Linked DNA regions of Nothobranchius furzeri. The protein of the gene in region 7 binds, or shares a complex with, the protein of the main gene of each other region. Links are inferred from orthologs where the notes say so. Each region holds a gene or a part of one and is shown on either strand. Other genes may lie near its edges. The genes, in order: snrnp40, rbmx2, bud13, eftud2, plrg1, cript and crnkl1.

Evidence for each region.
Region 1: crnkl1 (region 7) and snrnp40 share a complex: the UniProt entries of both Homo sapiens proteins name them as parts of the minor spliceosome. The link is inferred for Nothobranchius furzeri from reciprocal best matches to the Homo sapiens genes CRNKL1 and SNRNP40.
Region 2: crnkl1 (region 7) and rbmx2 share a complex: the UniProt entries of both Homo sapiens proteins name them as parts of the minor spliceosome. The link is inferred for Nothobranchius furzeri from reciprocal best matches to the Homo sapiens genes CRNKL1 and RBMX2.
Region 3: crnkl1 (region 7) and bud13 share a complex: the UniProt entries of both Homo sapiens proteins name them as parts of the minor spliceosome. The link is inferred for Nothobranchius furzeri from reciprocal best matches to the Homo sapiens genes CRNKL1 and BUD13.
Region 4: crnkl1 (region 7) and eftud2 share a complex: the UniProt entries of both Homo sapiens proteins name them as parts of the minor spliceosome. The link is inferred for Nothobranchius furzeri from reciprocal best matches to the Homo sapiens genes CRNKL1 and EFTUD2.
Region 5: crnkl1 (region 7) and plrg1 share a complex: the UniProt entries of both Homo sapiens proteins name them as parts of the minor spliceosome. The link is inferred for Nothobranchius furzeri from reciprocal best matches to the Homo sapiens genes CRNKL1 and PLRG1.
Region 6: crnkl1 (region 7) and cript share a complex: the UniProt entries of both Homo sapiens proteins name them as parts of the minor spliceosome. The link is inferred for Nothobranchius furzeri from reciprocal best matches to the Homo sapiens genes CRNKL1 and CRIPT.

Annotation. Positions count from the first base shown.
Region 1 is NC_091759.1:20,973,206-20,977,267, reverse strand, and holds the start of snrnp40 (U5 small nuclear ribonucleoprotein 40 kDa protein), read right to left. Parts: upstream 2,801-4,062; 5' UTR 2,668-2,800; coding exon 2,557-2,667; intron 1,933-2,556; coding exon 1,803-1,932; intron 1,730-1,802; coding exon 1,636-1,729; intron 1,544-1,635; coding exon 1,378-1,543; intron 1,267-1,377; coding exon 1,144-1,266; intron 824-1,143; coding exon 703-823; intron 630-702; coding exon 547-629; intron 402-546; coding exon 340-401; intron 246-339; coding exon 142-245; intron 68-141; coding exon 18-67; 3' UTR 1-17. Other genes in the region: zcchc17 (zinc finger CCHC domain-containing protein 17), read left to right, coding at 3,736-3,874. UniProt on the Homo sapiens protein: Required for pre-mRNA splicing as component of the activated spliceosome. Component of the U5 small nuclear ribonucleoprotein (snRNP) complex and the U4/U6-U5 tri-snRNP complex, building blocks of the spliceosome.
Region 2 is NC_091750.1:26,772,697-26,776,828, reverse strand, and holds rbmx2 (RNA-binding motif protein, X-linked 2), read left to right. Parts: upstream 1-1,332; 5' UTR 1,333-1,438; coding exon 1,439-1,443; intron 1,444-2,649; coding exon 2,650-2,765; intron 2,766-2,946; coding exon 2,947-2,998; intron 2,999-3,081; coding exon 3,082-3,211; intron 3,212-3,339; coding exon 3,340-3,526; intron 3,527-3,600; coding exon 3,601-3,971; 3' UTR 3,972-4,050; downstream 4,051-4,132. Other genes in the region: ap4m1 (AP-4 complex subunit mu-1), read right to left, coding at 37-143, 375-460, 534-595. UniProt on the Homo sapiens protein: Involved in pre-mRNA splicing as component of the activated spliceosome. As a component of the minor spliceosome, involved in the splicing of U12-type introns in pre-mRNAs.
Region 3 is NC_091750.1:44,767,950-44,771,965, reverse strand, and holds the start of bud13 (BUD13 homolog), read left to right. Parts: upstream 1-1,216; 5' UTR 1,217-1,260; coding exon 1,261-1,400; intron 1,401-1,524; coding exon 1,525-1,615; intron 1,616-2,127; coding exon 2,128-2,212; intron 2,213-2,280; coding exon 2,281-2,517; intron 2,518-4,016. UniProt on the Homo sapiens protein: Involved in pre-mRNA splicing as component of the activated spliceosome. As a component of the minor spliceosome, involved in the splicing of U12-type introns in pre-mRNAs.
Region 4 is NC_091745.1:13,636,704-13,640,203, reverse strand, and holds part of eftud2 (116 kDa U5 small nuclear ribonucleoprotein component), read left to right. Parts: intron 1-992; coding exon 993-1,117; intron 1,118-1,196; coding exon 1,197-1,260; intron 1,261-1,337; coding exon 1,338-1,428; intron 1,429-1,511; coding exon 1,512-1,647; intron 1,648-3,500. UniProt on the Homo sapiens protein: Required for pre-mRNA splicing as component of the spliceosome, including pre-catalytic, catalytic and post-catalytic spliceosomal complexes. Component of the U5 snRNP and the U4/U6-U5 tri-snRNP complex, a building block of the spliceosome.
Region 5 is NC_091744.1:17,230,025-17,234,076, reverse strand, and holds the start of plrg1 (pleiotropic regulator 1), read left to right. Parts: upstream 1-1,252; 5' UTR 1,253-1,395; coding exon 1,396-1,404; intron 1,405-1,600; coding exon 1,601-1,707; intron 1,708-1,942; coding exon 1,943-2,079; intron 2,080-2,224; coding exon 2,225-2,278; intron 2,279-2,353; coding exon 2,354-2,447; intron 2,448-2,548; coding exon 2,549-2,639; intron 2,640-3,043; coding exon 3,044-3,142; intron 3,143-3,238; coding exon 3,239-3,331; intron 3,332-3,872; coding exon 3,873-4,022; intron 4,023-4,052. UniProt on the Homo sapiens protein: Involved in pre-mRNA splicing as component of the spliceosome. Component of the PRP19-CDC5L complex that forms an integral part of the spliceosome and is required for activating pre-mRNA splicing.
Region 6 is NC_091756.1:43,772,589-43,776,814, reverse strand, and holds the start of cript (cysteine-rich PDZ-binding protein), read left to right. Parts: upstream 1-1,426; 5' UTR 1,427-1,567; coding exon 1,568-1,583; intron 1,584-1,741; coding exon 1,742-1,807; intron 1,808-2,090; coding exon 2,091-2,145; intron 2,146-2,931; coding exon 2,932-3,035; intron 3,036-4,226. Other genes in the region: pigf (phosphatidylinositol-glycan biosynthesis class F protein), read right to left, coding at 759-986. UniProt on the Homo sapiens protein: As a component of the minor spliceosome, involved in the splicing of U12-type introns in pre-mRNAs. Involved in the cytoskeletal anchoring of DLG4 in excitatory synapses.
Region 7 is NC_091742.1:17,433,302-17,437,563, reverse strand, and holds the start of crnkl1 (crooked neck-like protein 1), read left to right. Parts: upstream 1-1,462; 5' UTR 1,463-1,600; coding exon 1,601-1,648; intron 1,649-2,152; coding exon 2,153-2,305; intron 2,306-2,392; coding exon 2,393-2,484; intron 2,485-2,566; coding exon 2,567-2,725; intron 2,726-2,798; coding exon 2,799-2,965; intron 2,966-3,250; coding exon 3,251-3,429; intron 3,430-3,502; coding exon 3,503-3,673; intron 3,674-3,781; coding exon 3,782-3,973; intron 3,974-4,042; coding exon 4,043-4,102; intron 4,103-4,174; coding exon 4,175-4,255; intron 4,256-4,262. UniProt on the Homo sapiens protein: Involved in pre-mRNA splicing process. As a component of the minor spliceosome, involved in the splicing of U12-type introns in pre-mRNAs.

The DNA.
Region 1 (4,062 bases), on a different chromosome or scaffold from region 7:
ACACACACACACACACCTTATTGGATTTCACCCATGTACAGACGTTTATCACTGGAGCCAGACAGCACTGCAAAGACACAGAAAAGAATAAATGAGTGACTTTTTCTTGTGTTTGGTTCCGGTTCCTGTTCTGTCGCTCACCTATGGGCTCCTCTGGGTGAAACACCACCTCGTTAACAGAACCGGCGTGGCCCGGCAGCTTGTAGAGGATCCTGCGAGACGTGGTGTCCCAGATGTACACAAATCTGTAGCAGACGCACAGAGCGGGGAACAAAAGTGGCTCTCAGTGCCTTATCTTTACTCCGTTTGGGTTTAAAAAGTCACCAAAGCGTTTCTCACCGATCGGCTGATCCTGCGGCTACTTTACTGCCATCAGTGGACCAGGAGCACCTCAGCAAGTTCTGAATAAACAGGAAAAGAGGACATGAGAAGAACACAGACCCGGAGCTTTCACAGCTAAAAAGCGGTTTTCTTTAGTCCAGATATGTACGACTTCTCAGATTGACCTAGAAGTGAATTGTTCATTTGTCTGCTAGTGAAGATTACCTTTTCAAAGTTGTGAACATTACCCTGGAAAATCTTCACGCACCTCTCCTTGGGTGCAAACGGCCGCACGTCCCAAATTCGCACTGCAAAGACACGCGAGACTCTTTGAGGGATGCGATTCAAGCACAGATGAGCAGGATCAGAAGCCGAGCATACCAGTGTTGTCCATGGAGTTCGACAGAAGGTATGACCCCTCGGAGCTCAGGCTGAGCCCGGTTACAGAGTCCCCGTGTCCATGCATGTTGTAGATCAGCTTGTTCTGTCGCAGATCCCACACCTGAGCAACACAAAGCTTTCAGATCAACGACCAGGAGAGAATTTTAGGCTGGAGCCGATTTGTTGCCTTCGACATTTCACATTTTTGCAACAATCAACAAAAAATAAACTTGCGTTTGGAGTTGAAGCAAACAAAAATGTAAACAACCAAGGGCTGACAATAAATCTCACTGAACATCTTCAGTCAATCAACTTTAAAATGGCTGAAACAGAGCATCACTGCAACCATCTGCTGTTGTTAAAGGGATTAAAATGTTTAGTCTGACTTTCTTCAAGATAAACAGTTTAATGAGTCCCTTTAAGAAAAACTGTTTTTTTAACCTTGATGTCGTTGTCGATGCCTCCAGACAGGATCTGATCACTGGTGTCGTTAAACGTCACGGCCAGAACCTGGTAGGTGTTCTGAAAGGTGTGGATGGCTCCTTTTTTGCGGATGTCCCACAGCTAGAAAACAAAAAACATCAGGCTAAACAAAACGTGCAACAATGTAGGTGTGTGTGAACGGTGTGTGTTGGACCTCATTTTCACAGCAAAACACCCAGAAAACAGCCTGACCTTGATCGTCCCGTCGTCGCTTCCTGTACAGACCAGCTGAGGACCTCGGCGAGCTGGATAGCAGGTGTTAACAAAGGAGGTGTGTCCCTTCAGACGTTTGACCCTCTCACCTGTCTCGCTGTCCCACACGCCAACAGTCTTGTCCGTGCTGGCTGAAAACAACAAGCTGAACCACACAGACACCTCTGTATCACACTTCTGACTCAAGTTCCGCAATAATCCACCAGATATTAGTTGATCATATTCCACCGTCTCTACCTGCCATCTGTGTTATAATGCAGCTCCATCACCGCTCCGCTGTGACCCTTCAGGGTGGCGTAATTCTCACAGTCTCCATACACGTTCCACAACACTGCAGCATGGTAACAGAGATTTTAAAGCGGTTTTAACAAACATATGTCTGCTACTGTTTGACACAAACTTACATATGAGTCTGTCGAATCCTGAAGAGGCCAACACAGCTCCATTGGGGTGAAACTTGCAGCAGTAGACCTCCCCCTCATGGCCAGACATCAACATGATGGGAGCCTGCATGCTGGAGGTGCGTGGATGGCCCTATGGGGATCAGTGATTTAGGTTTGCAGCATTATGGTGCAGAAACAACAAGTGGTACTTTACTTTAAATGCATACGAGCTGGATGACTTGCTGAGATCTAGCAAAGAGAGTGAAGTAAATGCTCCCTTTAATCATGTAGGAGCTGGAAGTAGATCCTAATTGCACCAGTGGCAATTACAATCTGGTGTTTCCTTAAGCTTGCATTATGATAAAAGGTGATATCTGTGTATATATATTTTACCTTTGATGCACAAGTGAACTCTGATCATCTTGACAGTTTATTTATTTATTATATATGCTTTGTTATTTGAATCAAATATTAAAAAGGAAGGCTGTTTTAATAATAAATATTGTTACCAATAAAATACATAATTACAATAACCAACACGCTCTTGAAAATAGTTTTTTTGCATATTGAATTCTATTGTCAACTATTCTGATGTTTACATTAATCATGAAAACGTGACTAAATCTGCTTACATGGTCCGGTTAATGAATACATAAGTCCCCGGCTAGCATAGCTTGCCCTTTTCTCAAACTTAAAAACATAACTACTATAAAGGTGGTAAGTATGATTTAATCTTGAATGTAAACGCAGTCGGATGTCACCAGGGCTACGTTACCGTGGCCACGAGCTGCTGAGACTGAGCCGCCGCTACTAGCTCCATCCGTGGCCGCTTCAGCGCAGTGGGAACCATCGCCATGTCTCCGGGTCTCTTTAGAGGTTCAATCATTGCGGGGAAAGTTAACAAAAAGCGGCTAAATAGAGTAAATGCAAAGCTAAAACTTAGTAAAATTAACGGACGTCTTCGACGAAAGACGTCTGAGGAAACAAAACCACCAAAGAAGACAGACACTGAAGTACTTCCGGGTTCAAAGCTCGTGATTGGTGGAAATTTGCGCAGGCTGCAGTGATTGGCTGATTTTCTTCCTGGCGTCAATTTGACCTGGAAGTATAACTAGCACAGTTTAGTCGGTGGAAAAGGTATTGCAATTATTTTTATTTCTTAAGAGTTAGAGTCACATTACGCAAAATATATTAATTATAGCACAATTGTCTGGTTTACTAATGTATCATAGAGCAGTTTAACAGGAATAGGTTAGAGGGTTTTATGTAAACACCAATGCTCGTGTTGCGTTTATCCTGTTCATGTTTCCAGAGATATTGTCTCCTATAGTTTTTACTCCGCTCGAATTAATGTAATGGAAAGTGAAGTTTGAGGTAAGATAAATCCATGTTTTGAAAATTAAAACTGATTTACAATATTAATAATTCTATTTGTTCGTTTTTGAGATTAGCCTAGTTTCTTTAAATCTGACAGCTGCAATTTTTGTCTGTGTTCTTTGTTTTTATTTATTTTTTTGTGTTTGGTTCTCAGTCTGTTTCACATGTATGGAGTGTTAGAAAATATGCAGTTACCGTTTAAATAAAATTTAGACCATGGCTGGTCTTTTTAGTCTAGTTTTAATATTATTAAACTGGGTTATTTGAGCTTAATTCTTAATGAAAACGAAGAAAAAACATTTTAATTGAAGGATAACTTCAACTGAACTTGATTTATTGCCTACTCCTGACTTGTGAAAACATAATAGTTGTCGTAGAAAGTAGTTTTATGGATTTTTATTTAATAATTTTTATTCACAATATAAATACTTAAATTTATTCTGTTACTTTGTAAAAGGAACAATATTGCTTTTATTTTGGGTTTCTTTAACTTTTCCTCGTCTTTCGTCTTTTATCTGTGTTGTGTTATTGAATTGAAATATATTTAATCCTCCAACTGTTTGCCCAGATTGAGACGATGTCCAACCGTGACCGCTCGAGTCGAGAACCAGCCGGGCTGGATGGTCTGCCTCCGATGTACAGCATCGCCAAGGGAGAGGTGGTTTCAGTGCAAACATATGGAGCTTTTGTTCGACTGCCTGGTTACAGGAAGGAAGGTTGGTAGAAGGCTGAGAGCTTGTAATCTTTAAAAATGAAATACCAGTATTAGTAATATTAACCAGCTGAGTGAAGTGAGTCCTTTAAAGCAGTAATGGATCTGTAAAAAGAAAAATAGGAGATATTAGATGACTACAGCTAACTTTATATTTTTTATTTAAAAAAAACGTTTTCATTTAATACCATA
Region 2 (4,132 bases), on a different chromosome or scaffold from region 7:
CTCCATCTGAAGGTTCTGTTTAGAACCAGAACAAACCTGTTGAGGAACTCGATGATGGTGAACGGTGAGGAGTCGGCTGTCGTCGTGGCGACCCAGTAAAGGCCTTCATGTCTGACATGTACAAAGTGCAGGTCTCTGTCGCTCTGCGGGACACAGAATCAGGTTTGTTTTACTTTTGACTCTCGAATCATCTGCATGGTTTCAGTCCAGTTCCTCAGACAGTAAACAGACGCCGAAACATCGTTGCTTCATCCTGATGTGACTTCTAATCTAGTGGTTCTGGTTTGACCTACTCTTCGTGTTTGGGTCAAATCAGAACTCAAAACAACACAACAGTTTGGGTCTAAATGTGTCCCAGACTGTGGAGGCGTTACCGTGACGACCAGAGGTTGGTCTCCAGTCAGCGCTGTGACCTTCTCATAGAAGATGTTGACCACATCGTTTCCTCTTTGGCCTCGGTCTGATTGTTGGCTTGGGTTAAGCTCTAACTCCTGATAGGGTAAAGTCTCACGGGACTGGAAGCAAAAGGATACAGTCCTTGTAGATGAGATGGTCCCCCTTGGAGGACAGGATGAAGACCTGAGAGATCATCCTCCTGAAAGGAAGATCACAAGCACAAGATTAATGATAATGATAACTAATATTTATATGGAATATCACACCTTATTGATCATTTAATAAAAGTGACCACTTCCGTCACGTTACAACATGTTTATCAGAGTTGGAATAAAGCCAAATCCTATCTAATTTATTGTATTATAAGTGTTAACAGCACTGTTGTGTACTGGTGAGAACCTGCAGATAAAACTACAGAAGTTCCGCTAACGGAAAGGTGGATCTGTGAGGGGTTACAGCTGCTGTACTCGCCTGCGGAAGGTGTGGGGTCTACCTGGAAGAACCAGATCTTACTGCGGCTATTTTTAACAGAACTTCAAAGGAAATGAAAGCACGGCTGGTGCTGCTTTGGCTAGCAGTAAGCTATAGATAAACTTTAATAACTCACAGGGCCGCAGTTTTCAGAAACGCTGAATACAACCAGATAAGCTCATTGTCTGCAGGGTTACAAAGCTAACCTGACAGAAAGGTTTTGGGTTTATATTCAGGTTATAGCTACGGTTTACGACACGGCTCCGTTAGCATGTAGCCCCACAGCGCTCCCTTGTGGACAGGAGGTTGAATGAGGATTGCATTAATAACTTTATATTTATTAACTTCACGATGAGTGAACTCATAGCTACGTAAGAAATTGCTTCAGATACATCAACCTAGATGGTTTGGGTGTGTTATATAAACCCGAGAGAAATAATCTGCACATGTTTAATGATCGCTTGTAGTTTAGATCTCCAAACTGCAGAGGGCAGCAGAGACGAACCAAACGGAAGTGGTCTACCTCAACAAATAAAACGTCTGATCTGTGCCCTAATTTCTGTAACTAACTATGAAGTAAGTACATTTATGTATTCATAAATGACACGAACCACCGACACAACACTGTTCTACTTCTTGTCGTGTAGTTAAAGTAAAAAGAGCGAGTTCGTTATTCTGCGGTTTGATGACTGATCCTGGTGCAGCATGCTAGCTGTTAGCTAGCTCCTACTCGTAGCCGATCGGATTCTGCTCAAAAAACAGATAATTTAACATTTTTTCCTTAAAAACCAGAGAGAGCATGTAATAAAACATAAACACCCAGTTGTGTTTGGGATGTAGCATGTATCTTTGATGCTTCAAGAAGACATTTGATCATGTGTAGGTTGGCTATTGTTTTGTTTACACCCCTGACCTTCTACTACGTGTTTTATTCTAGACCAGTGTGTCTGATAAAGTTGACTAATAATTTATGTCAACTGCTGATGAAGACAGGACCACAAGCTTGGTCATATGTGGTGTTATCTTTTTCTCATGAATGTTTCTACGTCTGCTGCAAAAAAAAAGATCATTCGACTAATAAAACACACCACTCCGATCGTATTTACCCCGGAAGTCAAAGGGGACACATTTACATGTATATCCAGCCATTGTCTGAACCCGCATATCCTCACAGGGTTCTGGGGGGCTGGTGCCTATCTCCAGCAGTCTCTGGGCATGCAGGCGGGGTACATCCTGGATGGGTTGCCAGTCCATCGTCCATCGTAGGGCAGCCCAGAGGCACACAGGACAAACAACCATGCACAGCCACCTAAGGATGATTTAGGCAGACCAATCAACCTGACAGTCGTGTTTTTGGACTGTGGGAGGAAGCCGGAGTACCCGGAGAGAACCCACGCATGCACAGGGAGAACATGCAAGCTCTATGCAGAAAGACGGGCTGGGATGTAAACCCAGGACCTCCTTGCTGCAAGGCAACAGCCCTCAGAATTAAAATGTCAAATTTAAATCAAGCCAACAAGTGAAACGGAGCAGCTCGACCAGGAACACCGTGGTCCTGCTGGAGGAACAGGATTATGCCTGCTGCTGCTGAAGGGTCATTAGGGTCAGGCTCAAGGTTGGGGTTGAATAGAAAAGCTCGACTCTTTTTCTCTGTAGTCCAAACAAAAAGCAGTTTTTCTTTCTAAATTGTCCTGACAGCTTTTCACAATAAAACTCCAATTGAGTCAGAATCAGGTCCAGTCCCTAACGGGACGATTTACTGAGCAACTTGTGTGTTTTCAGTCCTCTAACGAAGGTGAAGCTGATTAACGAGCTGAATGAGCGCGAGGCTGACCTCGGCATCAGCGAGACCGTCTCCTGGCACACAGAGTACCGGGACAGTGCCTGGATCTTCATCGGTGAGAACTCCTCAAACCCAGCCCTTCACACGTGGAGACGTTGGGATGAGTTTGGTGTTTTGGGCTTTTGGAGACGATTTGCTTCTGTTCATTAACAACATAAAAAGGGATCTCATGAATGAAACTGTTGAAGTGGGTTTGTTTGGTTCTGATGATGCTTACGAGGTCTCGTTTCCTGCAGGAGGGTTCCCCTTCGAGCTGACTGAAGGAGACCTGATCTGTGTCTTCTCCCAGTACGTACATGCTTACGTCTCACCTGCTTTACGTTATAGCTGACATGACAGTGACGTTTGTCTCCTCTCGACAAACCTGCCAGGTACGGAGAGATCGTCAACATCAACCTGGTGAGAGACAAGAAGACGGGGAAGTCTAAAGGGTTCTGCTTCATCTGCTATGAGGACCAGAGGAGCACCATCCTGGCAGTGGACAACTTCAATGGCATAAAGGTGACTTCCTGTCCTCACCAGGTCCTGGTGTGGACCCAGCGCCGCTCCTTGCTGGCCCACAGCGGCATCAACATGGTCTCTGATGAGACAATTAGCTAAAATCTTTTTGTTGTTGTTTAAACGTTCAGATTAAAGGTCGAACTATCCGCGTGGATCACGTTAAAAATTATCGTCCTCCCAAAGACAACGAGGACATGGACGATGTGACCAAACATCTCAGAGAAGAGGGCTGTGCTCCCAAAGGTCCTACTGTTGTCCCCTCTTCCTCTGAGGAAGAAGAGCAGTGCGTCGTACCTGCGAAGAAGCCCAAAAAAGGTGAGGTCACTTCCTGTTACCTGAAAGTCACCTGATCTAGGACCAGGTGGACTTATTTCCCTTTTCTGTCTCAGATAAGAAAGAGAAGAAGAAGAAAAAAAAGAAAGAGAAGAGGAAGAAGAGCAGAGCTCCCTCTTCATCACCTTCTCCTCCTCCTGCAGTCTTCAGACTGAAAGAGGAGAAGCAAGACGCCGCCTACGACAAGTACAACCACAAGGAGGTGCCTGCAGGGCAGAGGACGAGGGACACGGAGAGAGGAAAGGGGACAGACAGGAATGAAGACAAGTGGAGGAACTGTGAGAGAGAGGTGGACAGAGACAAGGACAGAAGAGACGACTATAGGAGACAAGAGATGGACAGAGACAAAAGACGAAGAGAGAGGGAGTGGGACGAAGACAGAAGAAAAGACGGAGACAACAGGAAACGGGAGCCGTATAGAAAATAGACAGGTTGTGATTGGCCGATCCATGGTGTGTGTGTGTGTGTTTTAATGTTTCGTATTAAAATCTGACCTGAACACCTGATACACTTCATGTCTGATGTCCAACACCTGAGGACGGGTGAGACTTTTACAAAGCAACACGTTGGCGAACTCGTGAAGCATTT
Region 3 (4,016 bases), on a different chromosome or scaffold from region 7:
CATGTCTTTTAGGTCTCAGAGGATTTGTTGGGAACTGAAAGAGTTGTGTGATAATCTGGGTTATGAGTCTGAGAGCTTTGACATTCAATCACTTTTATATAAAAGTGATTTGAACTGCACAATTCTTAATGGCTTAAAACTAAAGTACATTAAACTTATTGGGGGTAAAATTGGACCATTTTGCTGTTTTTATTTAAGTGTGTAAAACAGATCTAAACAAATGTTTCTACAGAGCAGCTGCTACATGAGGTTGTGATTGAGCCACCATACACCACGAGATAAAGTTACAGTCATTAATGAGGTAGCAAATAAATAATGAATACAAAAAGGTGCAACAAGGAGGCAACAAAAACTTGTTAAAATATGATAAGAACAAATAAAAAAGATGCAAAACATCAAAGTACATTGTGTGTGTGTGTGTGTGTGTGTGTGTGCGCGCGCGCGTGCGTGCGTGTGTGTGTGTGTGTGTGTCAGAGAGAGAGAGATAGACAGATCCAGGGCCTAAATAAATCATTATGATGACATCACTGAGTTCCTCAAGCTAAAGATCTTAAATCATCACTACTTTTGAGTTACTGCTGGGAACAATAACGTGTTCAGTGTCTATCGAGTAGAGTCAGTTTCTAAATGGAGCTAAAGCATGTCTCCTACAGCACTGACAGAATGGTGATGGTGATAACAAATGTCGTCTTTGTTTCTGCAAATAGAATTAAAGTAAACATTAATTCTTCTTTTTTTTCATTATAAAAAATCTAATATTGTTTTACTGTGCCATCCTTATTTTATCACACAAAATTGAATTGTATTTGTTTTAATCATTTGTATTTCCAAACAAGAATCAAATGACCACTTGTTTTTTTTTATTATTATTTGTATTATTTTTTTTAATTACTGATTTGGTTCCCTGATGAAAGACTCCTATTATCAAAATTAACACTTGTTAATGTGATGCTTTTGTGTCCAAAATGAGGGAAAAAATGTCTGTTTGTCAGTGTTAATTATTCGTTTTATTTTTCTATTTGTTTTATTTTATTTATTAGCAAAAATTAGATGGAAAATCAAGCCATAGCTCATCCATTTTTACATCAAAAAGATAAGCGGCTTGTTTAGCAATTGAGTATTTTCAGTTTTACAACAAAAGCCAGATTATGACTCTTGTGGTATTTTTTAAAAAGAAAAATATATACCATAACAAGGATGGTGGAGCGGTTTACCCCTTTTGATCCTCCGCGCTATCCGTAGTTTCGGACAACAGTCAACATGGCTGCCTCCAATGGCGTCAGTAAAGGAGCTGAGCTTTCTAAAGCTGAGTACCTCAAACGTTATCTGTCAGCCAGCGAAGATGCTAGTAAATCAAAAGGAAAGATAAAAAAGAAACGACGCAAAGTTCCTGAAAAAGGGTGAGTTTGTGAGAGAGTTCTATAAAGTTTCTTTTCACTTGTATGCTAGCTGTTTCGCTAGTCACTGTGTCAGTTATCGCTTTTTTGTTACTTGGTGACATTTATTATTTTCCTTTTATTTCAGACTTAAAATAGTAGATGATGATATAGACTGGAGACAGATGGTCACAGAACCGAAGGAGATTGAAGAGGAGGAAGAAGAAGAAGCTCCTGTGGTAAACAGCTAGCTAACGTTAGCTTTTTCGAAAGACCTTAATTCGATTCAAACGCTTTTAAAGCAAATCTCTCCCTTCAGTAATCTCTGGCAATATTAAGACAGGCGTTCAGTTTTAGACTCCATACATTGGGTTGAGTTTATGAAAGTGTATTCACAAGTTTTTAGACACTAAAACTTGATCCCAAGTGGGTCAAAATACTTAGAATGTTTTTGTGCCATTTTAATAATTTTTGTTTAAAAAGATCAAGAGGAAGATATTTTGCACTATAAACAGGGCTAAACAAGTGCAAAATTATAGTTTTTTTTCTTGCAACAAATAATAATTTAATTTGTGGAAAAAAAATCTTTTTGCGTAATCTGTCCATATAATCCAGGAGGGAAAAAAAGCTGAATTCTGACATAAACAGAGACAAAAAAACACAAACTTTTATTTATTAGAAGGTTCTAATGAGTGATGTTTCCTCAAATGTTATGGAAATGCAATATGGATAAATTTGTGTGCCCACTAAGATTGCTGAATTCATTGACGAGCGACCAGAGGAGGTGAAACAGATGGAAGTCTTCAGGACCAGCAACAGATGGAAAATAGTTGGAGGTAAACGTGAAACACAAACAAAATCTGTTCCTTTGTTTAAGAAAATCATCATCTAGTCTTCCCTGTAGCTGATGAGAACGAGGAAGATGAAACAACGGGGGAACGTGTAGAGTCTTTGGAATCTAGCAAAATTCACCAAGACTCACCGGAGAGGTCATCAAAAGACATGAGACACAATTCTCCCATCAGAAAAGCAAGACATGACTCTCCGGACACATCTCCTCCAAGGAGAGGTCGCCACGACTCTCCAGACTTGTCACCTTCAAGAGGGCATTCAGGGAAATCAGGAAAGGGCCGATATAAAGGTGAGTGATAAACGTTTTTTTCTGTGTCTCTCATGGACAGGCATTTGTTTTAGCATCCTGTTCTCCACCACTGATTGAAGCATATTCAGGGTTTTTCCTGCATTCAAATTCGGCCGCCCCAGCCTGATTTCACTCTGCCCCCAGCTATATGGGTGTTATTTTAACTGCAGTTGCAGCGTTACGCCCCTACAGGGGCGCTGTATCAGCAGCGGCGCACCGAAAAGCACTAAAACCACTGCAGACAAAGAAGATCAAAAACTGCTTTTCTCGCTAGTTACATATCTATGGTTGGTGTTATTGACATCCTGATTTTCCCCCAGGCTCTTCCATATCAGAGCAGAGCTGTACAGTGTGACGAAAAGAACTGTCTGTGCGTGTCTGTCTATGTTTAAACGTAGCACTGGTGCAACATCTTTGAATTACTATTTTCCCCAGAACTTTATTGAACAAAGTTAGTTGCGTGTAAGAAAAATGCTTTTTACCGGCGCAGTGTGGTCATCTGGATGCAGTGGAGGAAAATACAGGAACCAGCAAAGGCAGAACCGGTCCAAAGTTTGGGATCAAAAGTGCAGCTACACGCAGATTGGCTAATGCTAAAGCTAACGGTTAGCAGTCTCACGATCAAGTGGTGCACAGAAAAATATATGATGGTAAAACTAAGAAAGACTAAAATCTACAAGCGGATGAAAAGTCCCCACCATCCTGTTTATTCTGCATCCTGCAGCGCTATGGATCAGAACCGCTGCAGATACGAGTCACATTACTGCCACAATGCTGCAGTCGCCATGGTAACTCTGTCTCCCTATCCCACCCTGGGTGGGACTGCGACCGGTGAAGGCCATTGAATCGTTTCCAGGAGTCACTGTGCCCTCTAACCCACATACCTCCTTCCCCTGTCCAAACGGAGGTGACGAGCGCTGCTTATCGCGGCTGCATGCACTGATGTGTGGAGAGTCCCAGACCCTACCACCCCACCTAGTGGACACTTATGTTGTGTAATGTCTGAAGTCTGTTGCATTTCTGTCTGAGGTGTTTTTTTGCATAGCAAAGCTGCCCTCCCTGTCTCTGAAGTGCCTTTTTTCCCTCCACCTGACCCAATCCTTATGTAAACCCTCCGGGTCGCGAATGACCACAGTCACCAATTCTTGTCATGTGTCTATGCCTATGTATGTATGTCTGATCTCAGAATTGTGTGTACTGAAACTCTAATTTCCCTCTGGGATTAATAAAGTATCTTTGAATTGAATGGAACGGCTATGGCAAGCCGTTGTAGTATATAATTAACAGACGCTTCTATCTTTCAACATAATTTGAACTGGATTATTGCCAACCCGTACATAATAGACATGCCACCATTACATTTTTAGCAGCCAAAATTAAATGTTATTACCATTTCTGATACAAATGCATATTAATGAAATGCATTATATAATTATATAAGTATCTCGGGGTCTTGTTCACGAGTGAGGGTAGGAGGGATCGGGAGATCGACAGGCGGA
Region 4 (3,500 bases), on a different chromosome or scaffold from region 7:
AAGCAGTGTAGAACATCCAGAAACTTTCAAAATAAAAGTCACACGCAGGTAAACGTACATCCTTTCCGGTTGTAACCCCCGTAGCCGATGTAAACAGAACAGAACATAAACAACAGACCTTTTTGATACATGCAGGTGTTGTTCTCCATCCATCCATCCATTGTCTGAACCCACTTGTCCACGTAGGGTCCCCGGGGGGGGGGCTCTGGTGCCTATCTCCAGCGGTCAACGGGCAATCAGGCGGGGTACACCCTGGACAGAGAGCCAGTCCATCACAGGGCAACATAGAGACACACACACACACACCTAAGGACAATTTAGACAGACCAATCAACCTGACAGTCATGTTTTTGGACTGTGGGAGGAAGCCGGAGTACCCGGAGAGAACCCACGCATGCACAGGGAGAACATGCAAACTCCATGCAGAAAGATCCCAGGCCGGGAAGCGAACCCAGGACCTTCTTGCTACAAGGCAACAGCTCTAAACACTGCGCCACTGCGCAGCCCAGTGTCATTCTCCTTGCTTGTTATTGTGTGTGGACTTTTGAAATCACGTGTAGTGTCGCAATTCTCCTGTGATTTTGTGACATCCTGGGGTCGACAGCGTGGAAAGCTCTCACTCCCTTTTTGCATCAGAAACAGTCCTGATTGGGAATGAACTCGCGGGTAAACCGCTGCTGTTACGTTACGCGACCGCTTTCACGGCTGGTGGAAAGAAGAGGTGAGACTGATTCTGGCTAAGGAGCCTTCAGATCTTGGATTCCTGTCGTTTTCTGTTAAGATTGTATTTTCTATAAGACATTGGTACACTAAATGTGGCTCACAGTGGGTAGTTCCATAAAAGCAAACAAAAAGGAGCATTTTTTTTTCAACAATTTCAAATGATTTGAAGTGGCAATTAGAAAGTACTCGTACTCTGTTTTAAATATCTGGTATTGGTGCATACTGATCTGCAGATCTAACATAAAAAGAGACTTTGTCTTCCTTTTCAGCACGTATTCCACGGATGAGAACTTGGTGGTGTCTCCTCTCCTTGGAAACGTGTGCTTTGCCAGCTCTCAGTACAGCATCTGTTTCACGCTGGGGTCGTTTGCAAAGATCTACTCGGACACCTACGGTGAGAGGCTCATCCTTAAGCAGCTGTAACTACAGTGTAGTTCTCTCAGGACTAATTCACTCCTGACTCTGGTCCGTAGGGGACATCAACTACAACGAGTTTGCCAAGCGGCTCTGGGGAGACATTTACTTCAACCCCAAAACGTGAGTCTCAGTGTCCGCACACGTGGAGCTGATCTTTGTTCACATAACTCAGGAATTCCTTTCTGCTTATTGTTTAGTCGCAAGTTCACAAAGAAAGCTCCCAGCAGCAACTCTCAGCGCAGCTTTGTGGAGTTTGTCCTGGAGCCTCTTTACAAGATCCTCTCACAGGTTAAACATGCCTTCCTCAGTGCTCCGTTCGTCCATCAGACTCAGGTCCAGCTTGCCCGGTGTGTAACTGTCCTTGTGTCCAGGTGGTCGGAGACGTGGACACCTCTCTCCCTCGAGTTCTGGATGAGCTTGGGATCCACCTGACCAAAGAGGAGCTGAAACTGAACATCAGGCCTCTGCTTCGGCTGGTCTGTAACCGATTCTTCGGAGAGTTCACCGGTATGACTGGATTTGAACCGCCTTCGTTTGTCTAGAAATAAGTTTTTCTTCTATGGGAAAAGTCTGGAGTGATGGCCAAAGTGCAAAAATACAAGCTTGTTGTATATAAAGTAGGGTTGTCACGGTAACCGGTGTAGCGGTAAACCCCGGTAAAAAAGTTGACAATAATAATAACCGTCTTGTTTTTAACAAAATATTATCTCGGTGGGTTACCGTGGTTGCGGTGTAGGCGCCATGACCCTTACCAGCCACCGTATCATCTGCTGAAGTTGCCGGCGGCACATGCGCGCTTTGTTGTTTACAACCAAAACTTTCTTGAAGCTAAAGCTGAAATAATGGCCAGAGGAGGAGACGGCAGCACTCAGGACATTTATTATCCCTCAAAGAAGACAAAGTGGGTATCATGGACATGTTTTGGATATATGAAGAATGCCGAGGGACAGTTGATAGAAGACGGCTATCCTGTTTGCAGCACGTGCAGAAAAAGTGTCTGTGAAAGGCAGCAACGCTTCAAATCTCATGACCATCACCCACAACTCTACAGTCAACGCAAGGCAAGCTAACGTTAGCGTTTTAGCTAAAACGCGTGATCCGAGGATTTGGGTTGAGGGAGAATGCAACGAGTTGCTATATAAAGCAGCCGCAGCACCGCTACCTGCATATACAGGTGCTGGCCAGTAAATTAGAATATCATCAAAAGGTTGAAAATATTTCAGTAATTCCATTCAAAACGTGAAACTTGTACATTATATTCATGCAATGCACACAGACCAATGTATTTCCGATGTTTATTACGTTTAATTTTGATATTTATAGGTGACAACCAATGAAAACATCAAATCTGGTATCTCAGAAAATTAGAATATTCTAAAGGCCAATGAAAAAATGTTTGTTTCTCTAATGTTGGCCAACTGAAAAGAATGAACATGAAAAGAATGTGCATGTATAGCACTCAATACTTAGTCGGGGCTCCTTTTGCCTCAATAACTGCAGTAATGCGGCGTGGCATGGACTCGATCAGTCTGTGGCACTGCTCAGGTGTTATGAGAGCCCAGGTTGCTCTGATAGTCGTCTTCAGCTCCTCTGCATTGTTGGGTCTAGCGTATTGCATCCTCCGCTTCACAATACCCCATAGATTTTCTATGGGGTTAAGGTCAGGCGAGTTTGCTGGCCAATCAAGGACAGGGATACCATGGTCCTTGAACCAGGTGCTGGTGGTTTTGGCACTGTGTGCAGGTGCCAAGTCCTGTTGAAAGGTGAAGTCTGCATCCCCATAAAGTTGGTCAGCAGCAGGAAGCATGAAGTGCTCTAAAACTTCCTGGTAGACGGCTGCATTGACCCTGGACCTCAGGAAACAGAGTGGGCCAACACCGGCAGATGACATGGCACCCCACACCATCACTGACGGTGGAAACTTTACACTGGACCTCATGCAACGTGGATTCTGTGCTTTTCCGCTCTTCCTCCAGACTCTGGGTCCTTGATTTCCAAAGGAAATGCAGAACTTGCTTTCATCAGAAAACATAACTTTGGACCACTCAGCATCAGTCCAGTCCTTTTTGTCCTTGGCCCAGGCGAGACGCTTCTTGCGCTGTTTCTTGTTCAAGAGTGGCTTGACACACGGAATGCGACACCTGAATCCCATGTCTTTCATGAGTCTCCTCGTGGTGGTTCTTGAAGCGCTGACTCCAGCTGCAGTCCACTCTTTGTGGATCTCCCCCACATTTTTGAATGGGTTTGTCGTCACAATTCTCTGCAGGGTGCGGTTATCCCTAGAGCTTGTACACTTTTTTTCTACCACATTTTTTCCGTCCCTTCGCCTGTCTGTTAATGTGCTTGGACACAGAGCTCTG
Region 5 (4,052 bases), on a different chromosome or scaffold from region 7:
CATTTTTCAGAAGGAACAGAGATTATATTCTCAAATGTTCCAGCTCTGAATAAGAACTTACACTTAGGAGTTAATAAGAAGTCAGGCTGGTTGTTTATTTTGTGCTCACAATTGAACAAATGATCTACTCTGAGTTTTGTTCTGGTAGTATTTGTACTGATGCATCATTACATTCACCTCAGAAAGCTATGGTTGAGTTCAAACTTCATCTGACTCGCAGTAAATTCCAGTGCCATGTAAAAAATAAAATGTGGGGTTTTTAGCTCAGAAAATTGAGCTGTATGACTCTGCAAATAAACACTTGAGTGTATTGGTATGAAACGTGATTTTCAGGACTGCTCCTACCAAATTCAATTTACTTTATCTGTTTCTCTACGGACTATTTTCAAATGCATTAGAACGTTAATTATTATTTAAATCTTTTAACATCAGTTGACATAAATTTTAATTGGTTGTATTTCTGTGTTACTGTGCATCATGAATTAATTTAATCTGTCAACCTTGTCAATCCAAATTATGTTATTATTGTTTTTATTTTTGATAATAATAATAATAATAACAATTTTATATTGCACCTCTCAATTAAAAAATCACGAGGTGGTTCATATAAAAATAAAAATGACAAAAAACATTTTTTCTATTATTTAAAAAGATCGAAGCTTATCGTTGGATCCTGAAAAAGATAGAATTAACAGAAACACCAGCTTGAAAAGAAGCTATTGAGGAAGAATAGGGTGATCATGAGGTCACGCAAAGCCAGACAAGTGAAAAGCATGTTGCAGGACAAGCATGAGGAGACGAAGGTGTGGATGAAATCTGAAGTTCAGAGCATGACAGAACTGACATGAGAATCCAGGGTGAGAGCTGGGTCAAAGGTCACGCCAAGATTCCTGACAGAAGGTTTGGTGTGAGAAGCAAGCTGACCAAGAGAGTCTTTGACTTTGGGAACCAGCTTGTCTGGGGCACAGATGAGGATCTCAGTCTTATCTTCATTCAGCTGAAGAAAGCTCCCACCATCCAGGTTTTGATAGAGTCTAAAGCAGGTGTGTAACAGCTGCAGTTTAGATATCTCATAACTAGCATGGTGGGTCATTTGATAGAAAATATCCTTAATAACAATTAAACATTTAAATAATAATTTTATGCTTTATTCATACGTTGAACTGTCACATTTTAGCCCTTGATGATGAACAGGAAAAGTGGTTGAATCATCCAAACCGGTAGGTGGCGCTGATATAACTTTAACAACTCTTGGTCGTGTTTACTTCCGGGTTATCTCAAACGTTCGGTTTGTCGTGGTGGTCAGGAGGATTTATTTTACTACCAAGTTGTACTTACCGAGGCAGACCTTTATTTCCTCCTCAGTTTTGTTCTATCGGTATATTCCTCTATAAAATGACGGAGGTATGGATTTATACATTCATGTATGTCTTTTGTGTCCGCTAGGATGTTAGGAAACGTCCAACACACTCCCGGGCCTGTCTATTTACTGGAATTGATAGCCTTTTTCTGCCCGTTTCACTGTTTATTGAGTGAGAAATAACTTTTTATTAGGTTGTTATATGCGATGTTTTTTAAATAAAATTCTCGCTTTTTACAGGATGTCCAGAAGCACTCTGTCCACACATTGGTCTTCAGATCGCTGAAAAGGACGCATGACATGTTCGTAGCCGACCATGCTAAAGCTATCGCTCTGGATGACGAAAGGTAACCCAGGCTGCTTCCAAAGTGTGTTTGTAAATATTTACAGATCAAACCTCACTAATGTTTTCTAATGCGCCGGGATACGTTTTTTGCTTAACGTTCAGTGAAGAAACATGGATGTTTGCTCAGCTTATATTTTCTGAGGAAACTATTTTTTACGGTGTTTAGAGTTGTTGCTCAATTAGATAACATTTACATTTTGGCGGTATAACATGTATATGAATGACTGTGTTTGCAGTCACAAACAGAAGATGGGTGTGAAACTAAAGACAGAGTATGGACCAGTTTTACACATGCCCATCCTAAAGGAGGGCAGAGAAAGAGTCTCACATCATCCTGACGGCATGCTCAGCCATCAGAGCTACCCACAGCTAGGTAAGGGAGCAACACACTGTGACTGTTTCTTAGTTAACCGTCAAAATAAATATTGCATAGTTTTATGGATCACATAGATTGTTTAACTTCTTTTGAGCGATTAAGCCAAAGTTAATAATGTTTTCACTCTGTTAAAACTATTTAGGCGATGATCCAGAATACCTGATTACCGGGACCAATGCTTATCCATCTGGACCAGGTAGATTTGTTTTCTGCTACTTTAGGAATCCGCACTACTTTTAATTTTGTGCTAACAGTAGCTTGTGCTCCACAGGTGTGGCACTCACCGCCGACACTAAAATCCACAGGAATCCCAGTGAAGGAGCGGTGCACTCCTTGACACTGGCTTTACCACCCTCACTAGCAAGGTAGGCTATTATTTATTTTTAATCCATGCTGGTAACAATTTGGCATACAGATCTATGGTTAAAATAAATATTCTGACATACTCTATGTCATGTACTTTCAGGCAGGACGCCAGTCGCACTGCAGCCAGCGTTGCAGAGATCCATAGACATGCAGGAGTAGCAGAGAGAATTCACCCTCCGTCCACTGCAGTGGTAAACCACAGTGAATTTACTTTTCCAGAATGCTTGTTAGTGCTTATAGAGTCTTAAAAAGACGTGTAAAGCTAATAATCCAGTAGAGATTGGGTTTCTTTTCTGCAGTAGAAAATCACTAATTTGAAAATAAATTAAAAAACAAATAGCGAGCTCAGCTAACTTTAACACCATGGAACTTTTATGTTGCTTATTCATTCTGGTAGTGTCGCATCAAATTCTGTAAGCAGAACAGTGTTGCAAGACAGAATGCTTCACAAACATACAAAACTAATTTTACAATATAAAAATTACATTATAATGCTAATGAATGTGTCGTTCAGTTGGCCAGTTTATTTCTACTCATAAGTCTTTCATGCTACTTAAAAAAAATCCTTAATGACCTTTTGAAGTATATCTTTTAGTCTCTCTTAGATGGAGGTGGCACCAGAAACTCAGCGCTCATAAGGAGAGCTCCAACAATGCCCAAACCTCAGTGGCATCCACCGTGGAAACTGTTTCGGGTTCGTAACAACTGTTTCACAAGTTGTCTTGCATTTGTTTACAACATTAATAATTAGAAGCTGCCTTGTTTAACTGTGGTGACCGTTATCTGTCAGGTTATCAGCGGACACCTCGGCTGGGTGAGATCCATCGCCGTGGAACCGGGAAATCAGTGGTTCGTCACGGGGTCAGCAGACAGAACTATAAAGGTCGGGCGGGCTGAGTAAAACACCAGCTTTTATGTGTTTGTTATTACATTCATTCATTCATTCTCCATAAATACATATAAGCAGTAAAGCTCTGTTGATAGAGGGATCAGTAATGGTCTAGGGTTTTAAACTGCTTTTTATATTCTTTATTAACAGGTTTAAGCTACTTTTTGTCTCTAATGGTAACAAGTCTCAGAGGACTGAACCTGTCTAGATTTGTTATTAGACTTCATCTTCTCCACCAAATAGTTTTTCCTATTCTGTAAAGAGCTGTTATTGATCTAGAGCTGGTAAAACATTCAGGTTGTTGTATTTTGTGTAGGTGCAGACATTGCAATACAGTTTTTTAAAAAGAAATCCTTTCAGTATTTAACCCTTACCCAACGTTTACATTTTCTAACGTTAATGTCATTTGAGCACAAAAAAATGCTTTAATGTTAGGTAAGGGTTAAAACGTTTGGGAGTGATACCAAGGTGGCTCTGTTGCTGTTAAAGCTTCTGTGATGATCCAGAGATAACTGGAAGGTGGTTGTCTCTACAGATCTGGGACCTGGCCAGTGGGAAGCTGAAGTTGTCTCTGACTGGACACATCAGTACCGTTCGTGGTGTAGCAGTGAGCAGCCGCAGTCCGTACCTCTTCTCCTGTGGAGAAGATAAACAGGTCAAGTGTTGGGATCTGGAGTACAACAAGGTACGTTGTTTGGATTAGCTCAGGGTCATC
Region 6 (4,226 bases), on a different chromosome or scaffold from region 7:
CTGCCTGCATGGCCTTTCTGCGTGGAGTTAGGATGTTCTCCCCATGCTTGTGTGGCCCTTCTCCAGTAACTTGCTTCCTCCCATGGACCAGACACATCCATGAAAAGGGTTCAATAATGACTCTAAATAGTCTCTAGGTGGGAGAGTGTATGTTTGAATGGTTGTTTGTCCTTCTATATGACTGGAGACCTGTCCAGAATGTCCCCTAGCTCTCATCTGATGATGATTAGCGCTAAAGATGAGCCGTTTAGATCATGGATGAACCGAATTAAAATGAAATGAAACTCGGATGGTTTTGTTAGCTCTCTTCCCTTCATAAAGGACATAATCCTTTGAAAACTGCATTTAGTTTAGTTTACTCAAGTTCTCTTTGCCTGATGTTGAAATTTGTTTGATCTGAACCATTTAAGTGGGACAAAAAATTAAACAAATAATATATGAAATGTGTTAAGAGACAATTACTTTTTTCACACCTAAATAAAATAGATCATAACAAGAAACGCTTACAATTTCTACTTTTTCATCACCTCACCTTACAATATCCAAAACTTACCTTCATTTTCACACATCTATTAAATTTAATTAAAAAGCAAGTTGACTGATGTCCATTTCCCTGTCCAAATAATAATAATATTAATAATAACAAACGAATACATTTTGTAAAATTCATAAGATACCTTCACATATCACATAATACATTTATATGTCGAACATAATCAACAATTCACTTTAAAAACATTATCTAGTTGTTTTGGCACCTTGTATCCCAGTGTGTGCTTTTTGGTGGGCGGTGAGATGCCGAGCAGCCAGAAGATAGCGACGCTGACACAGGTCACCGTACCGGACACCGCGTAGACCCACAGCAGGTGAGTCCCATACACTGAGAAGCCCGGGACAAACACCGCGGGGATGACCGTGGCCATGAACACCGAGGCGGTGATAATCGCGTGAGTAGACGCCATAGCTTTAATTTCATGGTCCCACATGATGAAGACGTGAACTATTTACAACAAGAACCCGATAACGATGCGGGGAAGTCAAATAAAACACCTAAAAAACGTAAGGTAACATTGGGAAACTGTCAGGTCTATGTATTTCTTTTCCGCGTTTCCGTAAACACGAAGACGTAAGAACGTCCGCTTAATTTCACAGTAAAAGTCTACTGCGCACAGACATCTTAGGTGAATGATGAAAAAACATCCGTTTCGAAACATATTATCATAGATTATCGGGTCAGTTTATTTCAATTTCAAGTGAAAAAGGTGTATGTTTTACTTGTTACTCAATCTCTGCTAATGAATACGCTTGGGTTAAATAAGGTAAAAGTGCTTGACTTTATCAAACATTTATTTTGAAGAACCTATAAGCAAATAAACGGGAAGTAGTAAGTTATAGTTCGCGTTGCGTAACTCAATTGTTTTAACCAATCACAGAAGATGTTACTCGTTAAAGCAACCAATGAAACCTGTCATTTGAAATGCCTCAGCTGACCGGACGTTTACATTAGCAAAGCAAGCTAAAGCTAACAAACGATCATTTCTACTGCGTCATTCGACACACCGCAAAGATGGTCTGTGAAAAGTGTATGTATGTCATTTGCTTCTGATTTTCAGACGTATTGTTCATTTTAAAATCTGATGAACGTTACTTTTGTCAGCGAAAGTCTCAAATGCAAACTAGAAGGCCAATAGTTTAGTTCTTATTGTATTTTCCTCCATAATTGTTTTGTTTTATATTTTAGGCGAGAAGAAACTGGGAAAAGTAATTACCCCCGACACTTGGAAGGACGGAGCACGGAATACAACAGGTGACCCGAGGAATGCGTAGTGAAATGTTTTTTTGCCATCAGTATGATAAATTGCTGTTTGTTAATTATTCTAGATATGAGACTTGTTGTCTTGTTTACAAGTTACTTTTGAAAATGTAATCATTGTTTCTATATTTTTTCACGTTACTAGCAGGTTTAGTCCTCATTTGGTTGATCACGCCATAATATAAATTAATTGGTGTTTATTTTTTTTATATTAGTATAGGTATAGTAACATTTAGATGTCCGTGTTTAACAAGTTTGTCTTCTTTCTTTGTGTCAGAGAGTGGAGGACGTAAGCTAAATGAGAACAAGATTTTGACATCCAAAAAAGCCAGGTGAGTAAAAACAATTTATAGAAAAAAATAAACTTTAATTACAACAATCTAATGAATGTAAATACAAATATGAGAAGTCAGAGAAAATATTCTAAACGCATTAATATACTTATCTTAAAATTACCTTCTTGAAATTGAACCAAAAACTGTTATTTTACTAAAGTTCAACCTTATCATATAAAACTTTCTCACCACCATATTTGCTTGGGCATACATTTTGCTGCATTGGCACAAATCACCACATGAATCATCATTAATCATCTGTCCTTAGTATTTTACTTTATGAACCACGTTTAAATCCTGATCTTCTTCATTTCTTGCAATCATAACAGTTGATTTTTACATCATAGCTGGAACACACTCTTAAGTAACTGTTGCAAACCTGCTCTGAAGAGTAAAAGACCATCAAATCTTCAGCAGTCATGAGATGATTGGTCATTATTTCCCCATTCATCCACTCTTATGCTCTCTTAGTTAAATAAAACTTAGATCGTCCATATACAAGTTAAAGGGAATAGGTGACAATATCTGGTGAACCTTATTAGTAACAGAAAAGGAGTAGCTCTCATTTGGTTTTTAGTCTGATTGTAAGATTTGTATAGAATATGAGGTGACACCTTGTTCTTAAATCTTCCTAAAAAGCCCATCATAATGAACTCTTATCTGAACTATTCCTCAGAAGAAGTCACACAACGGTTTAGCTACTGTTTTTCAATGTTGTATATTACTAATTCAAAGTGGTCAGCTGATATAACTGGTCATGTGTGTAACAATTATTTTCATCAGGTTTGACCCTTACAGCAAGACTGGCTTCGCAATCTGCAGGATCTGCAAAAGCTCAGTTCATCAGGCTGGATCTCACTACTGCCAGGGCTGCGCTTACAAGAAAGGTATGAAGTGATTGTGCTGAAGATTTAGTTTTGTGTCACAAAAACGCTACAGCATTTCTATTAGCCCTTTTACATAAAACACACACACACATGCTCTCTATTCAACACCCTGCTGAGTTTTTCACATGTAATCATGTCACCAACAACATTATCCTTTTCCTCTGAGACAAATCCATCTGCATCCTATAGGAAAACGTGACAGTAACTGGGACGAGTTGTGAAACTGCAATGTTTGTCTGTTGTTGAACAATTCAACTTGTGACTTTTCTGCTCAGATGTTTTCATTTTTCAGTGTGTCTTAGTGTCAGAATCCGGAGAAAATTACAGCCTCACATCAACAGAGACTGTACTTGCATAATCTAGAGCCATTCTCGATAGGTTTGTTTGAATACAGTGTGTTTGTACTGTATTTAGGCTGAATGATGAAATGTAAACAGGGCTTTATCTAAAAAGGCATATCTTGATGAACATTGAAGCAAACTGTCTTAGTTGCAGGAAATGAAAGAGTGGAGTGGCCATGTTTCAGATGGTTCATCAAACATGGAAGATGCTCAGTGAAACAAATCATCTTTATAGTTTGCTGAAGTTTTCTTTTTTATTATAATGATTTCAAGGCCTACGTGTCCCATTGAACCTGCTGCCTTTGGTATGTCTTCATGATGATGCCTAGGTAGACTCACAATTAGGAATAGGGCTGCACGATATTAGAAAAACCTGCGATATTCGATAACAGTGTTTAATATTGCGATATCGATATTACTCACGATAAATGAACAAATACTAAAGTATGCAGTGTTGATGTCGTCTGGCGTGTGACGTCTGCTCTGGGTTCAAAGCAAACAAAACTAATGCATGAATTCCATTACAACATAACATTTTTATTGCAAAAATATGCAGCTGCACCTGCTACTGTATTAGTAGCAAAACAATAAACTGCATGCATGCAGTTTCTCAGTGACTTTAAAACATCACCTCCACCATAAAACTTTTTCTGATGCTCCAAATGCAGAAAAACATCCCTTACCAGGGTTTTTGAATAAATAAAAAAATATCAGAAAATAAGTTTAAATGTTAAATAATAGTTAACATCACTTAAATGGAACAGCAAATTCTCTCATTGCTACTGAGCATTTTCTCCACTTATGTGGTTATGATATAAGGCTGTTGCTGCTATTGGGAAGTGAACTGTGC
Region 7 (4,262 bases):
TGACAGATAGCGCCTTCGTAATTTTTTTCTGAAACCCTTTTTTATAAAATTAAGCATTATTGGCAGTGGGGGAAAACGTTATGGACGCAAATTTTTTATATAATTTTTAATGGGCTACATGCAAGCCTTTTGGCCAAAATAAACGTAACAATAGGCTATTTATTTGACCGTTTATGACTCCTCATCTAATAAACAGCAAACTCACGACGGCAATGTGGTAGCCCGGAGGTATTCTACAAACACAAGAACAGTGCTAATTCCTATATGTATTGTTTTCACATTGGTTATGACAGCCTCTAGGTGTAAATGTCATTTTTACTAATTGCTATTTATCTCTGTCTCACTAGTGAGAGGCAGCTGATGTCCTATGCCATGGAACTGCTCATATACTCGGAGAAAATCAGAAAAGCTCTGGACTCATCTGAATTTTTCAAGAGGTTGTAGCAATGTGTGGACATTTATTATTATTATTATTTTTTGGAAGGTATTTGTAAGGCCAATAAAAGCTGTTGCTGGTTGTTTCATTTGTCAGAACTTTTTTTTCTAAAGCCAAACTTTTCTGCTTTTGTGTTTACAGTATATTCTTTACAGATTAGTGTATGGTCAATATCAGTTTACTAGTCTTGTGAATTGTATACTTAATGCAAAATATTTTAGTAATTTCTAAATCAATACATTTTGTGTGAAAGGGCCAGCAATTATTCCTGTTAACAGAATATATGAAATGCATATATACACATGTAAATATGCCTAAAAATTACACAGCAGCAGCTTTTCACTGTAAAGAAGCAATAAAAAAATCACAGATAGTAACATAAATATTAACTACTCACTCGTATGAACTTAGACCTACTGTTAGTGCCTGTAATAACAAATGGTTGAAAGTTAAATGTTGCTGTAGGAGGCGTGCTCCCAAAAATGGGGGTCAGTGGGCTTAAGGGGTTAATTAAAACGATTACCACTAATTACTTTTTCTGATATTTTATTTTATTGCATTTAAAATAAACACTTGCACATACATTACTCACCTGCTAACGTCAGTAAGCATAGGTATGTTGTGCCTATTGTACGGCAACTGATTATTTGTTGGTGGTATCTGTGTTTTATAATCTCACTGGGGATGGCCATGAAGTGTGTATACAAGAAATAAAAATAATCTCACTGGGGATGGCCAAAAAAATCCATACATTCATATTTAAACCTGGAGTCCTGTCTGTTTAATTACATTATTACTATTTCTATATTTATTTTCTTTCAATTGTGTTGTTCGCTGGGAGGGCCGCCGTTATTGAGCTCGGGGGTATCTCAACAGGGGGGCGTGTTTTGTCGGGGTGGGTGGGGGGTGGGGGGTGTTTGGCCGGGGCTACGTCTGCAGCTAGGAGGGTTTCAGTCACGTGGTACAAAAAATTGAGTTTTTTACTCTCTCCCTTTGTGTAACTTCCGTTGCTATACCAACGTACCGGAAGTCGCAGAGCATTGTGGGTACTGTCATGGTGGCTGGAGCAGCAAACGGAACGTTTATGTGGCTTAAGCTTTGAAACAGTCGTTTCTTTGGGACCTTTTATTTTACAGAGAACGTCTGGTCCGACACACCGGCAGCATGGCCTCCACGGCGGCAGGGAAACAGCGGATACCGAAGGTGGCGAAGGTAAGCGGACCGGAGCGCGGAGCTAAGAGCGGCTAAGCTAATGCTAACGCATTACTGTTTAGCTGTAGTGACCCGTGAGTTCTGTTCTGATGGCCCGGGTCCAGAGACACGAGCTCCTGTCCTCCACCGGGAGCTCAGAGGCTGCTCCTGGATGTGTGGGAGCTTTGGTTCCCCCAGATGTTCCGGTCACCTGGGATCTCAGCATCACTGCTAAGGTCCAGTAGTTCTGCCATGCTGGACCTGAAGTGCCATTTATCAGCACAACCCTAGAATGTTTCAGCTCACTGGTTCTGGTCCGGCCCGGCTCATCGATCATAACCAGAAAAACAAAACAAAAAAAAAATTGTAAATTCAAAAACGATCAAATGTTCTGGTAAAACGCAGAAAGACTTTTTGGCCAATTCTGGTTTTAAAGAGTGTAAAATCGCACCGGACCCTGGTTCTGGTTCTAGGACAGGAGTGGTACCGAGGAGTGGTCCTGAAGCTTATTGTGTTGCTTTCCAGGTGAAGAACAAAGCTCCTGCTGAGGTCCAGATCACAGCTGAGCAGCTGCTGAGAGAGGCCAAGGAGAGGGAGCTGGAGCTTCTGCCTCCGCCACCCAAACAGAAGATCACCGATAAGGAGGAGCTGAACGACTACAAGCTGAGGAAGAGGAAGGTGATTTAGAGAGCGTAGCCTCCATGGGTGGGTTAGTCTAACAGGTAAACAACACGTCTGATGGGTACTGGTCTAACTGTGTTTCAGGCTTTTGAAGACAACATCAGGAAGAACCGGACCATCATCAGTAACTGGATTAAGTACGCTCAGTGGGAGGAAAGTCTGAAGGAGATCCAGAGGTATTTAGGTCATCACCACAGCTGGAACTAGAGGTTTAAGGTAACCTGGTTAGTTGTTTAAACACTGTTCATCTGGGTTCAGGGCCCGGTCCATTTATGAAAGAGCGCTGGACGTCGATCACCGCAATGTCACTTTGTGGCTGAAGTACGCCGAAATGGAGATGAAGAGCCGCCAGGTGAATCATGCTCGTAACATCTGGGACAGAGCTATCACCATCCTTCCACGGGTCAACCAGTTCTGGTAGGACTCTATAGCTTGGGGTTCTGTCAGAGCCTTCACGTGTGTGCTGGAACGTTTTTGATGTTCTGCTCAGGTACAAGTACACCTACATGGAGGAGATGCTGGGGAACGTGGCTGGCTGCAGGCAGGTGTTTGAACGCTGGATGGAGTGGGAACCCGAAGAACAGGCCTGGCACTCCTACATCAACTTTGAGCTGCGCTACAAGGAGGTGGACAAAGCCCGGACCATCTACGAGCACTATATCCTTTCTACTGGAGCCCAGTAGAACCTAGAATGGTGGGGTTAGAACACACGTTCCATAAAAACAACCGGAACAGGTCCAGTCAGACTCGAATTAAAACACCAAAGATCTGTGACCCGGTTCAGCTACAGATTCAGACCCATAATGCCTTAAACCTGATCCTACAGAGTACTGGAGAACATCTCTGTTCCTTCTGACCCGGTTTTTAACTAACCCTGGTTCTGGTGGTTGATGGGCTGCGCGTGGTTTTGAACAGACAGGAAGTTCTTTAACTCGTCTTCACTCGTCCTTGTTCACCCGGAGGTGAAGAACTGGATCAAATACGCTCGCTTCGAGGAGAAGCACGGATATGTGGCTCACAGCAGGAAGGTGTACGAGCGGGCTGTGGAGTTCTTCGGGGAGGAACACGTGGAGGAGAACCTGTTTGTGGCCTTTGCCAAGTTTGAGGAGACACAGAAGGAGGTGGGTGCTATCAGAACTTTGTTTATGGGTTTGTTTGGGTGGATTCTCTTACTTCTGTTCTTGTTCTGGACAGTTTGAGCGTGTTCGAGTCATCTACAAGTACGCACTGGACAGAATCCCCAAACATCAGGCCCAGGAGCTCTTCAAGAACTACACCATGTTTGAAAAGAAGTTTGGAGACCGGAGAGGAATCGAAGATGTGATCGTCAGCAAACGGAGGTTCCAGTACGAAGAGGAAGTGAAGGTACTTCACCTGTCTGGAGGTCAGAGATGAAGTCTGGTTCTGGGCTCAGGTGTGCAGAGGCAGGTGTTCTGCTGTGTGGCCCAAACTCAGCAACTTCTCGTCCTTCAGGCTAACCCACACAACTACGACGCCTGGTTTGATTACCTGCGGCTGGTGGAGAGCGATGCGGACGCCGACACGGTGAGAGAGGTTTACGAACGAGCCATTGCCAATGTGCCCCCCCTGCAGGAGAAGAGACACTGGAGGCGCTACATCTACCTGTGGATCAACTACGCTCTGTACGAGGAGCTGGAGACCAAGGTCAGTGGTCCTGCAGCGTTCCTGCAGAGGGCGCTGACGGACCGGTGTAACGGTGACATGTGTCGGCAGGACCCGGAGAGGACGAGGCAGGTTTACCAGGCTTGTCTGGAGCTGATCCCTCACAAGAAGGTCTTTAGAACTTCACCATGATGTAACCCCCCACCACCACCAGGCTGTGACGTGCTTTCTCTTCTCTTTCAGTTCACATTTGCTAAGATGTGGCTGCTTCATGCTCAGTTTGAAATCCGACAAAAGAATCTTCAGAACTCCAGAAAGATCATGGTGAGCT